Schizosaccharomyces pombe: one gene and its partners. The gene in region 2 interacts genetically with the main gene of each other region. Each region holds a gene or a part of one and is shown on either strand. Other genes may lie near its edges.

Region 1 (5,243 bases), 1.5 Mb from region 2:
AGAAACATTCAATAAAGAAAGATCCATTAAATTTATATTAACATTCTGTAATTTTATCAACTATATTGTTCATTAACATACAGTTGTGACATATCACTAGCAATTGTTTGGCAGTTGTAGCTGGACAAAATAAAAATAATGTACAAATGATAGGGGTAATTTGTCTTCATTTTAATGTATGAAAAATGTAAATCCCTAACCCATGCTTTTAAAGAATAAGGCATATCATGAAAAAATTAGAAGGGAAGAAAAACCGGTGATAGATACACTAAGAGCCTAGGTATGTGTTTTCTAAATTCACCGAAACAAATGACTAACATGACGGCTCTGTGGATAAAGCCTCCGATTTTGACGTGATAATCTATACGCCTCTCGTAAATGATCAGGACTCAGTGGACCAGTATCCCCCCATTGATCTTGAATCTTTCGAGCTAATTCAACGATTTCTCCAACAAACACCTTTGAAAATCCTGAGATCACAATAGCAACATTGGGGGTTACACTTTGGTTTAAAATTTGGTTAGCCAATTTTTTAACATTGGTTTTATTTAAGTTAGCACGACGAAACACTTCGTATCTTTGCATTTGCTCTTCATCAAAACTCTCTAGAAGATATTTTGTGCGCAATTTTTCATTAGCTTCGTCGTCCGTTTCACCAGGTTTTCCAGCAACTTTTGAAATAGCAGCTGTACCAAAGTCATCCCTATCGTCTTCTTCCAGATCATTTTCTTCTTGCCGATTCCAATTCTCTTTTTCTTTTGATGAGGGAGCAGGCTCAGCAGCAGGCGATGCCGTATTTGCCTTTGCATGAGCTCCTGCTGTAGGAGAATTAGATTGATCGTAGCTCATCGATCGCTGAAATCGAGGTACTGAACTCGCAGAACCAGTTCGTTTCATATTTATCCCTTCTATCTTCAAAAAACTGAAGAGCTCTAAATGTTTAAAAATTGGGTTTGATTTTGTTATGCAAAGTGAGAATGTACAAGAAGTAAATTTCACAGGTTGGAAACTGCTTCATACATAAGCAAGTACACTACGCTTCCTTAAACGTACAATACTATGATTATAGTCAAATTGTTTACATTACATGAATCCAACGATGTTTGTAAATGACCTTGAAAATATAGGTTTATAAATTGCAAAATAATTGTTTTAGAAAAGAATAAATGTAACTTTAATAACTTAGCAACTTCTGTAACTCATTATCGTCGACTTTTAGGCGTAAGGTCTTATTGCTTAAATCGCACTTGCAAAGATATTCGATGTGTAATGGACATACAGTAATCGACTTGCAAGAACAAGCAACTTGAGAGAAGTATGAAAATGCTTTGCAATGCTGGCATTGCCAATTTTCGGCATCCTCCATTAATTCACGATAAAGTATTTCCTTTAAATCATAGCGTCCTCGTATCATGATACGTATACCTAATTCACGTTTGACAGCCTCATGCACCCAAGGCCTTAGCTCAGACACACTTATCTCTGACGCCGGATTTGTCGCTAAATTGTAAACCAACATATCATGTGAAAGTACAGGAGGTTTAAGAAGTGACTGATATTTCAAAACGCCATTCAAAGAGAATCCGTTTAGTAACCAATCTTTGGGAGCAAAATTCACTGCCTCATTAATGTTAAACCCATGATTAATTCCTGCGTGAAAGCTTTTTGGAAAGGTAATCACGAATTCATTAGGCCCCTGGTCGATGAAATAAACATCGACACCTCTTTTTTGTAGCTCATCAGGGTTGATCATTGTAGCTAATTGGTAAAGCAGATCTTTTTGTTTTTTTACCAAATCAGGAGCAATATCAAGAGCGGCGCGTTCAAACCTCTCGGCTTGATCACCTGGAATTCCATACCATAATTTTGTGTCTCCATAATGTTGATAATTTACGGAATAAGTATAGTTATCCTCGACATGCCAACAAAAAGTTGAAAAACACATTCCAACGTACAGCCACGGACAGGTTATACCTGAAACAGGATTATCTATATAGCTTAATAGAGAACCATTTGTGGATGCTATAACATTTAAATTCCATGTGTCCTTAGAGTAAGGATTCACTGGATTTTTGGCTAAACTAGGGAAGGCGCTGCCCTGATCAAGGGTTGATAAATCTGCACCGTATTCCACTTCAAGGCTTGTATTATTGTCTTTTACGAGTTTCCAATACTCTTTTTCAACAATATCCTCAGTTATCTCCGAGTCTTTAAATTTAGAAAAATAATTTTTCTTAAAATTGTCACAGTATTTTTCAAAGTTCGATAAAGTATAATAATTCCCTGTTTCAAACCCAAACTCATATGGATTAATTATACATTTAGTACAATACGCTTCTTTACACGTATCTTCGACTTCACAATTGACAGGTTTGTGACAATTGTCACATAAGTGGTTGTTATTCGTTGACAGAGAGCTCAATCGTCGCTTTTTATTATGTGAGTGATTATCATTTGATCCAAAATTATCGGCTGGCATATATTGTTGTTTAATCTGCTCATTTCTCTTGGATTCTTGGTTTTGAAGAATTCCTACGGACTCATTAGTTTCGGGGTTAAATTGTTTAGATGTCTTCTGATCTTTAATACTAATATTAGAATGTTCGTCTTTTGTAAAAAATTTAGGGAAGAGATCAGTTTCAAAGCATTGATCCTCAGAGGTCTGATATTTTCTGACGAAATCCTCAAATGGAAAAATATACCTTAAATACAAGTCACTTGCTTCCTTTAATGATGCATTAGTAAAAGGAATTGAAAGTTCTCGTAAAATCCTTTTCCATACATGAACTTTTAATTCCTTCTCACTTAGAGATGCATGAGAATCAATACAACGCATTAAGCTGTATAAGTCGATAGACGTATTGGAAATAAAAAATGATTCCGGGAGCTCCATGCCCAGATTGCAAAAAAAACGGTAAACGCGTTCATCGTAAGAGACTATTTCACGAAATCGAAGATCCATCATATGCAAATCCTGCCGCCGAGTACGGAAGGAAAACTTGTTCATGTCAAGTTGCATCGGTGGATTCCAACCAGCAGGAGGAACGATTTTTATGATACCATATTTTTCACCGATTGGAGCTATCTTATTAATATAACCGATAGAGTCCTGAAATTCCTCTTTATCAGGATAAAAAACGGGAGCAACTGGAAGTCCATGAATGGATTTGGAACGCTGTTTTCTTTGTCCGGTATTTTTTGACATAGAGGATAAGTTATTTCCCCGCGTATTCATCCCATGAGGTGCAGGTTTTAGTTTATCTGTAGCATGAGTGTATTGTACAAAAGATGGGGAAGTTTGATGAAAAGTAGACTTGCTCATGTTTCCTATGCAAATAAGTAGATAAATTAGTCCGAATGGTGAGCGATTCCAGAAAAAAAAAGTTATTATAAAAAGAATTAAAAAATAGAGAATAAAAAAGAAACGAAACGTAAATGAGAAATAATAAATGGAAACAACAGTTTTTAAACTCGGACTTAGATGAAGTAAGTTTTTTATGTTTATGCAATGTATACTTGTTCAATTGTCCATTGAAAAGACGTAAGTGTCTTTATGGGATATAAATAAAGAAATTAGGTAAAATTCGAAAATAATCTTAGGCTAATAGCATAAATAGGCATTAAATTAATATTCGTAACGTATGGTTAAGTGAAGGTTGTGACAACTTCAGTTGACGATTTTGAGAGCTAAAGGAACGATCATTAAATTATAAAGGATAGAAAAAGGAAAGGTATTTTTCACAATTAGCATAGAATTTACAATCGGAACAACGCCATATCAGCACCAAAGCATTTCAAGGTAATTCACCGTTTAGAAAAGAAAGCGTGGATGGCAGAGGCTGTAGATACACTGAACGTATTCTGTGATCAACATATAAAGGTTCCATCACGTTCAAATGAATGACAGGTTCAGAAACGTAACTTTTGCTAATAATGGTGGTTAGTACTTGCCTTGGTAAATGATAAGATAAACTATCAATGCAATATTTAGTAAATTTAATAAATACCTTCTGGAAACAGCTACTTGCTCCGCAATCCACCAAGGAGAACGACATTGAACTGATTTGTAATTTGGCAAGCGGACGTGCTTTCTTAGATGCATTGAAAATGCATAATCAAAATTTTCATAACCTTCTGCTAAAAATTTCGCTTCTCCGTTGTGTAATTCTATCTTTAGTAAGAACAACTGAACCATAAATCATTCGACAACAAACAAGTGCACATCAAACCTTTAAAACTTACGCCATAAAGCAATTAATGCAGAAGGTACGGTTTCATCAAAAAAGGCGCACTTTCCTTGAAACATTGACAGGCAAACTGTTGTAGGTAGTTGGTTTGTTTACAATTGCGCGCGACGCGTTTCGAAAAAGAAACACAATAAAAGATATTCAAGAATACTAACCAATACTTTCTTTCTATTTTTTAATACACAATAAGAAGCCGATTTGATGAATTGAAAGGAAAACGATCAAATTAGTTTTATAGGAATTAACATTAGAACAATATACCAGTTCTAATAATTTACTTTGCAAAAAAAAGGATTCTTTATTTTTTAATTTTAAAAAATGTAAGATGTAAATTGATATCGTATTTTTTGGTAAACGGGAAATAACCTAAAGACATTGAAATGACCGCTTTAAAACGAAACTACAAGATCCAGGATCTTTCAATCATAAAAAATTAATTTTCCTCTTTCCAGTTCAAGGTTTCAAAGGTATAACATATCATGCTTCAATTTTTTAGAGCGTTAAGTATTGGGTATGAGTTTAAAAGTTGCCGGGAAGTTTATCAGCAAGAGCCTTTAGGTTCTCGCCGGTGACTCTCATCATACTCCATCCTCCAACTTTTTGTGCTCCAGCCTTTTCATAGACTTCAATGGCTCTCTGGTTCCAATCAAGGACCTAGGGTATTAGTCAAGGTATAAAAAAAGAAATGGGTTATAAACAACTTACAACCCAGTCAAGACGTCTGCCACCAATTCTAAGTGATTCTCGTGCTAAATAAGACAGTAAGTAGCTTCCATATCCTTTTCCACGGAATTGGGGTCGAACATATAAGTCCTCCTAAGAAATTGAATGGTTAAAATCTTGCTATGAAATCAAAAGTTAATCCTTCAATAAAAAGGTTATGAAGGACAATATGATAAGAACATACTAAATAAATCCCCACTCTGCTAGTCCACGTGCTATTCAACGTCAGCTCATATATTTCAAAACGGAACTTTTCACTACCTAAAATTTAGG
Region 2 (4,236 bases):
GATTACTTACAAAGCCATTGAAGTCGGAGATGAGCTGGGAGACGTATTTGCGTTCAGTAAATTTGAAAAGGTTAGGATAAAAGCAACCCATGCAATTAATCTTCTCGTTAACATGAAAATCCTAAAATATCTTACATACTTGAAACGAAGAAATAAAGCAGCCATACACGTGGCTGTGCTTACCAAACTCAAGCCAACTATAATAGGGTTAGCAAACTTAATAAATTATTTGACGAAAGAAAGGATTTAAAATATTCCACAATGAACTAAAGCTTGAGCGATTAAATCAGCGTAACTCACGATTGGGTTCAATTTGAAAGTGCTTTCTACTTTACCTTCTTCATTTGCTTTGACTCTAGCTTTGTAGGGAACGATTAAATCAGGTCGTTTAAGTTCTGCAGGCGCCATATTTTATGAATTTTCGTTGTCGAGACTTCAGAACTGGTGAATGGGATGGTTCCTCTACAAGAATATAATGAAGTTAGTAATAAAATGTGTAAAATGGTTTTAGGTTAGGTTATTTAGCATTCAAATATATCGTGGGGGTTAAGAGTTCTTATCCCACTAAGAATTTCAACTATTTTAGACTTGGCTAAGCATTAGAATTAAAATCGATTGCAGTACCACGTGGGGGCTTTAGCAAGTCATAGGAGGAAACTGATCCTACTTGGCGAGTGAGAAATGGATTTCTTTTAGCATTCTAAGTCTTCTATATAACAATTTAAAGCTCAAACATAATATAATATTATTTATACTATTTTAAAAATTTAGGAACCAAGCCAGGTGAACTTAAGAAGTTCAAAGAGCATTTAATCGTTAGATGAAATAATAAAAAAAAAAATTACACTCGTTCACTCGTTTTCAATTTTACGAATAGGTTTGGCAGGTGATCCTACAGCCAACGTATTAGGTGGGATGTCTTTTGTAACAACAGCACCCGCTCCAATTACACTGCCTTCCCCGATAGTAACACCTGGGAGAACTATAACTCCCATACCAATCCAAACATTGTCCTGAATCTTGATAAAATTTTGTTTGTTAGTTGTAAGATGTTTCAATAACTGGACTAACGCATACGTTAATTGGTAAACCAAATTCAATTCCGGAGTTCCTTGCTTTAAAATCCAAGGGATGTGTTGCTGTACATAGTTGAACCTGGAAAGACACCATTAGTATATTTATTTTTTGAATGAATGACTTGAAAGTAACTATATATATATATAAACATACATTGGGGCCTAGCATTACATTATTACCAATAGTAATTATGGCAACATCTAGAAATGTACAATTATAATTTGCAAAGAATTTTTTTCCAAAATGAACGTTAAATCCGTAATCAAAAGCCATAGGTGGCTCAATCTCTGGTGCTGAAGATTCGTCAAATACAAAAACTTCAGCCAACAGTTCAGCTCGTCTTTTAATCAATTCTGCTGGGCCTACATTTTCCAAATCTCCCATAGTGTCATTAAACCTTCGCATTAATTTTTTAGCATTACATCTCGCTTGAGTCAACTCCTCGTCGTAAGCCTTGTACCTGTTATTTAGTAATTAGAATATCTCCCTGCGTTCAATGTGACTTCAAACATGTCAACGAAGATGATATATTAGCTCGACAAGTTTTAAGCATTAGCCTTACGGTTGACCAGATATCATTTTTTGGTATTCAATGGTTTTCGGTATCATTTTTTGTACACGAGTACGAGTCATTTCTGTCGGAAAACAAGTATATTCACTAGCATTGACAATGGGACTAGTAGAGTTATCGATGTATAAATAGACTTATATATATATATATATATGTATTGATATCAATATTAACAAATTGCTGATAAAACTATACGGAAACTTTTTAGTGAAATAGTTTGTAAAACGTAAGTAAAAACATCTCGATGATATATAGCGTCAGCTGTTACACTACATTATGCCCCACTATGCAACATATCATTAATTGTCGCATTGCTTTATGTCTGGCCCCTACTCGTATTACCACCAGCATACCAAAATTTATCAAGTTACAAGTAAATAGTTAGTGTAGCTTAACAAACGCTGAGGGCCGTAAACTGACAAGCAATAACAAGATATGCAATGAACGTTGTCCGTCCCTTTTTTAATCTTGCTTTCCTCCTGTATCATTAAACTGATTAAACTGGGTAGTAATCCCAAACTAATGTCATATAAAAAAAAAATTCAAAACAACTTAAATAGTACATCAAACAAAAATTGATAAGTAAATAAGCAATAAATATGATTTAAAAATAAATCCAAAGTGTATTTATTAATCGCCCTTGAAGTGTAAATGGCATATCGTGTCAGATTAAATGCTCAATTTCTGACGGCTTCGGTTTGCTGCGCTTAAACATTTTGCTTTAGTGTTAATAAATTTCAACTATGGGATTTTTTCATCCTTCTTCATGATAACTAGATTATATGAAAAAAGCATCTTTAAGACAACCAACAATGTTTTAATATCAGTAAAGTGCGTCAAATTTCGCATCATTAAACAAATAATGTCACTTATGATTAACTGAGTCATTAGCAAATGAAATGTGAATTTACGGGTTAAATACTATCATAACTTTTAATTAATACTTATCAAGATAAAACTCACTGTAATAATGTCTTACAAAGGTCGGTAAACAATCTAATTAAACAAGGATCAGATAATAAATTGATTAAACACAAATTTTAATTTTTTTATATTGATATATAAAAACGGTTAACAAATTTTTCCATCAATAAAAAAAAAATGAATTACACTACGTTTCAAAGTTATAACTATTTTTTTATAACAAACATCAACTGAAAAGCAAGAAAATCTATATTCAAAAAAATAATATAAACGCTACAAAAAATCAAACAGTAAAGGGTTTCGAATTGCTTTTCTCTATAATTCAAATGAATTTCAAAATAATTGGGACAAGTTGCCAACACACACGCCATACTAATTTTGTGATACTTGCTCAACCAAAAATATGTAGCACCACATTCTCTATTTAAAGATTAGCGCAGCACAAGGAGCCGCTCGATAAAAGTGCTGCTACAAACGTTCAAGAACACAAGTTTATTCTTGTACCACAATTCAAGTGTTGCTATTGTTGTAAAAGGGCGTATATCAATCGGATTCAGTTTTTGCAATAAGTCTGACTGAAAAAAAAAATGGCGTCAGTGGAGGATGCCACGAAAGTTCAAGAAATGCTGGATGCGTTGAAGGCTGAATACAATGCTTTGGCTCATCATAGCTTCGCGTCCAAGGCGCGCGGAAACGACTATGAATCTTCTAGTACGTGTTTGAATAAAATAAATTAAATTAGCTATTTTTTGGAAACTAACATTCTGTTCTATTGCAGTGATACAATCTCAAATTCAAGAAATTGAAGCGTTCCGAAAAACCGTGGATGATATGTATGAAAAACAAAAATCTATTAGAGAAACGTAAGTTTTTATATGTTAAAGGTATCGAGGGATTATATAGTATCTACTTCTTTTCTGTGAAATTCATCATTATTTTATAATAGCATACGTGTCGCTCGAGATTTATATGCTTGAAGTAAAAAAAAAAAAACCTTTATAACATCTGTCTTCACCAATTTACTAACATTTATAGGTACGAAAAAGATATCAACAAGTTGAAGCGAGAGCTTGAAGAATTAGGTGTCGAAGCGAATACCGCAAGTTATAGAAATCGTGGAGAAAGATCTGAACTTGCCGCTTCTAATAATCAAGTTACCCATATTGATCAGGAACATCCCTCTCAAACCAAATCTACTTCTCAGCCTCCAAGTAACCATCTACCTGCCTTTCAGCAAATCCCTCCAATTCACCAATCAGCTTATCCTCAAAATAATGTTGCTGAAGTATTGATGCCTCCAATTCCTCCTTCAGTAGAGGCTTCTAGCGGGCAAAATTTTAATCAGGGAATTGCTTCTCAAAATCCCGCGATATCTACATCCAATTTACCTAGTACTACACCTTTATATATCCCTCCTGTTAATTACGGAGCAAATCAGGTTTCTCAACAACCAAATCCTCAATTGCCTGGTGTTTCCAATTATTATAATCCAAGTGCTACTTCAAAACCTGCTGTGAATGTCCAGCCACCGCGTATTCCTACCAAAGCAACTCCTTCGGCTGAACCTTCTATGACTGCTTCTGCGAATGCTGGTTCTATATCCCAAGCGGGTCCTGATGGAGAATATCAGGGAAGAGAACAGATTGCTCCAGTTTCAGATACAG
Region 3 (5,842 bases), 4.4 Mb from region 2:
TTAAAGCAAACATTCTGTTGCAACTCTCTTCCTTTCTCCTCAATCTGCTGGCTGACGAACTTTTCTAGTTGAATAGTTTGAGCAATGCTATGTGTTCTAAAAATTTCTTTCCAATTTGAGGAATGTGAAGACATAAGATCCGTTTCTACCATTTTAAAACTACTTCAATGAATAAGTCAACGAGGGATAAGTAATTGTACGGGTAAAAAAAATTTCAAAACAAAGTTCATAGGAAACTGAACATAGGTTGATAAAGTTAGCTGGTTTGCTTATTATTGTTTGTATGTGTAACGTACAGGAACTGCATATAACGACTATAAATAGCTTGCTTATAAACAATTTCCAATACGATTGGGTAAGAAAGAATCAACTATAGGTGTTTGACAAGGCTAGTATTTTGTATTGAATTACTATGAATTTCTGGTATCATAGTAAGTATGTAAATGAATTATGGTCATTTACATGAGTTAGTAAATCAGTTAGTGGGGTGCTCAGCATTTTCGTTAAAGAAATTACCATCGTATTGTTCATTGTCTCTCATTATTTAACAAACGCTATAAAATGCTAGTGTCCAACTATTGACACAGTGTAATTACTACTATCTATTTCAATTAAAATAAAGGCTTAGTTTCTGACTAGCATAGTATGCCAATCTATTGCTTGGATATTGGACTACAACTGTGTGTCTCCCAGTTCTAGGTAGTTGGAGTGATTATATGCCTTTTCTAGTCAGTAATAAATTTTCAAATATCTCGTATTACTTGTATGTTATGAGTATTGAAAGCTTAAGCTGAAAATACAAAACTCACACCCTTTTGAGCATGCAAGAGACTGCGATACTGAGTTTCTCTTGCGATTAATACATTTGTTTATGTAAGTATATCAATCGTAAATAGATAGTAGGCTACAATCAAAATATTGCATGGTGTTTATAATTTAATTTGAAATGATTTATTATTGGTTGCGGAACGTGGGTTTAGTTAGGCCATTTACAGTTTCTAATGTGACTATAATCACTTCAAATAAAGTATGCATATCTACCGTACAATAAGTATAAATACTTAATAAGACATATAAGAAGTACTGATAATTAACGTTCGTAGTCTAATTTACTAGGGGCTTGTCGACACGTAGCATATAGTAAAGTGTTAACGCTAACTGCATGGTAGTTGAGCGTGGCAAGTGCTGACTTTGATAACGCACTACGTAATCCAAAATGACAATTATTCATCCTGAGGTTAATTAAATTTTATGCCTTCCAAAATTCACACTATCGAAGGTGATATTCATAGTAGTCTTTAGTCATTTATTAGTTATTAATTTAAAAAAAAAATGAGTGCAAATTTACAGAACGAAAACCCGGAAGTAAAGGAGTTAAATCAATTGCCATCTAGGGTTGAAGAAGAAGAGGATCTATTGTTGAGTTCTACGAAACAATGGCTAACCGAGATTGAAAGTGAGCAGACTAACATAAAGGAAGAAAGAGATCCAATAGATCCACAAGAAATATACGACCTTCTAGCTAAAATAAATGATCCAGAACATCCATTAACTCTTGCTCAGTTATCGGTCGTCAAATTAGAAGACATTGAGGTTGTTGATAATGTTGAAGGCGATTCTTATATCACAGTTCACATTACTCCAACTATCCCTCATTGCTCTATGTGCACATTGATCGGTTTATGCATTCGAGTTCGCCTCGAACGCTGTCTTCCTCCCCGTTTTCATGTCGATGTGAAAGTTAAAAAAGGTACCCACGCGAGTGAGTCTCAAGTAAACAAACAACTGAACGATAAGGAACGAGTGGCGGCTGCCTGTGAAAATGAGCAACTTCTATCTGTTTTGAATGGAATGATGGCGACCTGTGTTTAAGCGTTTGTATATGACAATAACTTCTTAGTTTTTTAATTTTATCGGATCCCTGGTTGCTGTTCCCTTTATATGGATTGGTATATAATCTTTTTTTTTTGTTCAACGAAATCAAGACCTTTTCTTTCATTTATCACTAAAATATCACTTTACTAGTTTTGATACGACTTACAAGTAGTATTAAATTTTTGTGCACAAACTCACAATTCAATATATAATTGGTCATGCGCATTTATTAAAAACAATTAGCATTTTTTTGTCTGAGAAAACAGACATTGGAAAATGCCATTCATAAGTCATACTCATTGACTGTCATGCCGGTGCTGCTTTCGATCAATTCGTAAATTGAGGATGAAGAAAGGCATAATTGGGGGATATCCTAAATTATTTGTAAGTTGCAATGGACAATGTCAGAAATCTTACCTTAGCTGGTACATTCATATAATAACCGTAAAAAACCCGTATTATGCTTTTAGAGCCGATCAGCAAAACATCACGCTGCTCCCGACCCAATTCCAGTATTAAAGGCTCTAAACGAACAGCCAAATCATAAAATGATTCTTTCCGTTTAACTCTATATCTGTAAGGATCTACAAGGTAAAGATTATACTCTTCTTCGCCATATGTTTCTTTTAATTTCTGTAAATCGTCTCCAAATGAATCCATTAAGATCGGGGAAAGACTCGACATAGATGAGGTAACAGAACCCAGTTCTCGAAATGGACTCATTACAGAGTCCTCCATGCAGGATAATACGTGTAAGTTTTTGAAAGAAACATCTGGGAAAGATTTACGTATACGATCAGCTACATATTCAGAAAATTGGCGATTTTCTATGTCATCTTCTGGTTCTCGTAATTTTAACGGTCTCATAGAAGCTTTCGGCACCAAAAAGATACGTTTTCTCGCCAAAGTCATGTTCATGAGAAGGAACAGTATTCTAGACAATAGGTAACCTTCATTACTTTTGTTTGCGATGATGGTTTCAGCAAAATTAATCATTTTAACAAAGGAATAGTCCTTTTCATCAATGGTTTCATAATGGCATTTGAGAATATCAATTCGACGACAATATTCTTTTTCGGCCATCTCCAAATCCCAATTTCGAAATTCCTCAGAAACATGAATTGCTTCTTGAATATTCGCATTGATGACATCCTCTTTATTGCACAGACTTTCAATAAACAAGATTTTAAACCCGCAATTCTTGAACCTATCATATAAAATACGACGTGTACGTCTAGTACCATTTGTTGCATCGTAAATAGCAACCTGACCTTTCTCTTTAAGTAAAAAAATCTCTAAGTCTGCTAAACATCTCTCAATTGTGTCATTCCTACTAAAAACATGATTTTCTGATGCAGCTGTTATAAGTTAGCAAAGGTACAAAACGTCGACTATAGTTTCAGCTTACCAGATTTCACAGGCGAACTAGTCATTTCCCTAGTGCGTTCGTCTATGTATTTCGCAAGACTGTAAAATCTACAATTAAATCCCAACCACCTCAGATATCTGTCTATCGACACAGCAATATTAGACTTGCCTCTAGCCGGTAAGCCAGACATGATGATTACGAGCTTTCCGGCATGAAAGAGCATACCGCTCTCTGTACTGTAGGGTTGCACACCTCCAAACTTTTCATTATCGAGTAAGGCTTCAGAGCTTCGATTGGCAGCGCGAAGCATGTTTGGATTGATTGCCTGCTCAACCGCAATTGAATTTCTGCGCGACATCGCAACGTCTAATCAAAGCAAGCTGTTTATAATTAGAGTTTTAATATAATATATGCGATTATATATAAATTATTTATAAATTAAATAGGAAGGTCCAAAATCTGATTGAAATGTACTTAAATCCTTTGCAACCACAATGTTTACAATGTGTGCCTTGTATGTGGGTATTTTGATAAATGATTTCCACAAAGGTGAAATATGCAGAATGTTGTTTACAATGAGTGTAATACCAATTCCTACTAAAAACTGCGGTTTGCAAGAGGTCGACTGCTTATATACAGAGAAGAGCTTCTTACAATTGATATGGGCACAATGCTCGTTTAAGACGGATGGCTAAACATCGGTAGTGCTTTACGCAATACATCTGTGGTTGCACTTCGTTAATTAATTTTTAGCAAAGTTAAGCGTGCCCTAATATACCGTACATATCTGCAATTGGAAACGCCCATAGGAGTTTAAGATGCGTAGCTTTCTAATGGTGGGGTATTTTCGCATACTTATACTACATGTTTTGCATTTGCAAGTTCAGTTGATTTTTGATTATTGAAAGTGGCATTGAGAATTACTGAACACTTCCCAACAACTCATAGATTTTTTTAGCCAATTCCATGATTAAAACATGCGAGTACCTAAACGCATGTATATTATTTTATAGTTGTACTTCATCAATCGTCTTCTCTGCGTCAACACTTCTTTCTGCACTTTTACTTTTGAAATAACGTCTTAATAGCTATTATGGTTTAAAGACTAGACTATTATCTACGAAAAAGCGTTTGTAAGTAGCCCACATTGCATTCGTTTATAAATTTATAGTCCAATTGAACGAAACGAAAGATCCATGTAGAAAGGTCATTGTCTATACGGTTATACTCCAATCATCTATTATAATATGAGTCAATTCCCTTGCCTCTCTAGTTCCAACAAATGCTTAAATTGTATATGTATCTGCATCGCGACTTTATATATGATCGACTTCGACTGGAAAACGATCTTCATACACTAAGGAATTTCACAACAATTCAAACACAGCTTTTACAGTAAATGCTCATACTTTGTTGTAAAACATATGAATTGGTGTAACATTAAGTGTGGCTTGCAGGCGAAAATACTCTTTTATAGATGAACAAAAAAGTATTTAAATAATTATATTTTATATGAGAAGACCAAGTTATTTAAGTTTGATCAACAGAGATGTTAATCAATCTGTATGCCAAAACTTGTTACCAATGGACTGTGTCTTTGAGGAAGGGTAAGGCCTGTTACGTACGCGCTCCTTCCAAACATGGTGGGTAGGTATGTAGACAACTTCACCGGAGCCATCACGAAATTCCAACAACAATGGATAATCATATGCTAAACCGAATTAGTAAATCACCGATTCTTCCAGTGGTGTCATATTGCATGGCTTCCATATTGATGACTTTGACCAATAAATATGTTCTTTCGAGTCCTGGTTACAATATGAACTTTCTCCTTTTGACTGTACAATCCACTGTTTGTGTAGCAGCCATTGGGATACTAAAACGTTTGAAAGTTATTAATTATAGGGATTTTGATTTTCGTGAGGCCAAATTTTGGTTTCCTATTTCCTTTTTATTGGTAGCTATGATTTATACTGCATCGAAGGCTTTGCAATTTCTTTCTGTTCCAGTGTACACTATATTTAAGAATTTAACTATTATTATCATTGCTTATGGTGAGGTCCTTTGGTTTGGCGGGCATGTTACTGCTTTAACTCTTTTTTCTTTTGGATTAATGGTTCTTTCTTCTATTGTCGCTGCTTGGGCAGACATCCAGTCTTCCTCATTTGCTTCCCAAACCTTAAATTCTGGCTATTTATGGATGGTGCTTAACTGTCTCACAAATGCTGCTTTTGTTCTCGCGATGCGTAAGCGTATCAAACTTACCAACTTTCGTGACTTTGATACCATGTTTTATAACAACTTACTCAGTATCCCTGTTTTGGTTATCTGCACGCTCTTTACTGAGGACTGGAGTGCTGAAAACATTGCTCAAAATTTCCCTCCTGATGCCAAATTTGGTGTTCTAATGGCTATGGCTATTAGTGGTGTTTCTTCAGTAGGAATTTCTTACACCTCTGCCTGGTGTGTACGCGTAACTTCTTCGACAACTTATAGTATGGTTGGTGCTCTTAACAAACTTCCCTTGGCTATTGCCGGTTTAGTGTTTTTTGATGCACCCATCACTTTTGGATCTGTTACCGCTATTTTGTTGGGCTT

Evidence for each region. A genetic interaction does not mean that the proteins touch.
Region 1: mutations in SPOM_SPAC18B11.09C (region 2) and jmj2 together harm fitness less than expected from each alone (positive genetic interaction), as found in Schizosaccharomyces pombe (one large-scale study listed by BioGRID).
Region 3: mutations in SPOM_SPAC18B11.09C (region 2) and SPOM_SPAC144.17C together harm fitness more than expected from each alone (negative genetic interaction), as found in Schizosaccharomyces pombe (one large-scale study listed by BioGRID).

Annotation. Positions count from the first base shown.
Region 1 is NC_003424.3:1,803,476-1,808,718, forward strand, and holds jmj2 (histone demethylase Jmj2), read right to left. Parts: upstream 3,323-5,243; coding exon 1,175-3,322; 3' UTR 1,073-1,174; downstream 1-1,072. Other genes in the region: transcription factor TFIID complex subunit Taf11, read right to left, coding at 298-897; bouquet formation protein Bqt2, read right to left, coding at 3,795-3,927, 4,008-4,167, 4,243-4,306; SPOM_SPAC1002.07C (N-acetyltransferase Ats1), read right to left, coding at 4,767-4,901, 4,953-5,063, 5,155-5,185, 5,232-5,243.
Region 2 is NC_003424.3:300,635-304,870, reverse strand, and holds SPOM_SPAC18B11.09C (serine O-acetyltransferase activity), read right to left. Parts: upstream 1,870-4,236; 5' UTR 1,711-1,869; coding exon 1,640-1,710; intron 1,538-1,639; coding exon 1,231-1,537; intron 1,201-1,230; exon of another isoform or gene 1,156-1,200; coding exon 1,078-1,155; exon of another isoform or gene 1,020-1,077; coding exon 852-1,019; 3' UTR 710-851; downstream 1-709. Other genes in the region: protein pat10, read right to left, coding at 11-100, 140-197, 336-408; transcriptional corepressor Tup11, read left to right, coding at 3,160-3,283, 3,351-3,435, 3,608-4,236.
Region 3 is NC_003424.3:4,685,230-4,691,071, forward strand, and holds SPOM_SPAC144.17C (6-phosphofructo-2-kinase), read right to left. Parts: upstream 3,925-5,842; 5' UTR 3,603-3,924; coding exon 3,284-3,602; exon of another isoform or gene 3,234-3,283; coding exon 2,293-3,233; exon of another isoform or gene 2,249-2,292; coding exon 2,159-2,248; 3' UTR 1,873-2,158; coding exon of another isoform or gene 1,333-1,872; 3' UTR 1,073-1,332; downstream 1-1,072. Other genes in the region: COG complex subunit Cog1, read right to left, coding at 1-152; cia2 (sister chromatid cohesion protein), read left to right, coding at 1,333-1,872; GDP-mannose transporter Vrg4, read left to right, coding at 4,941-5,842.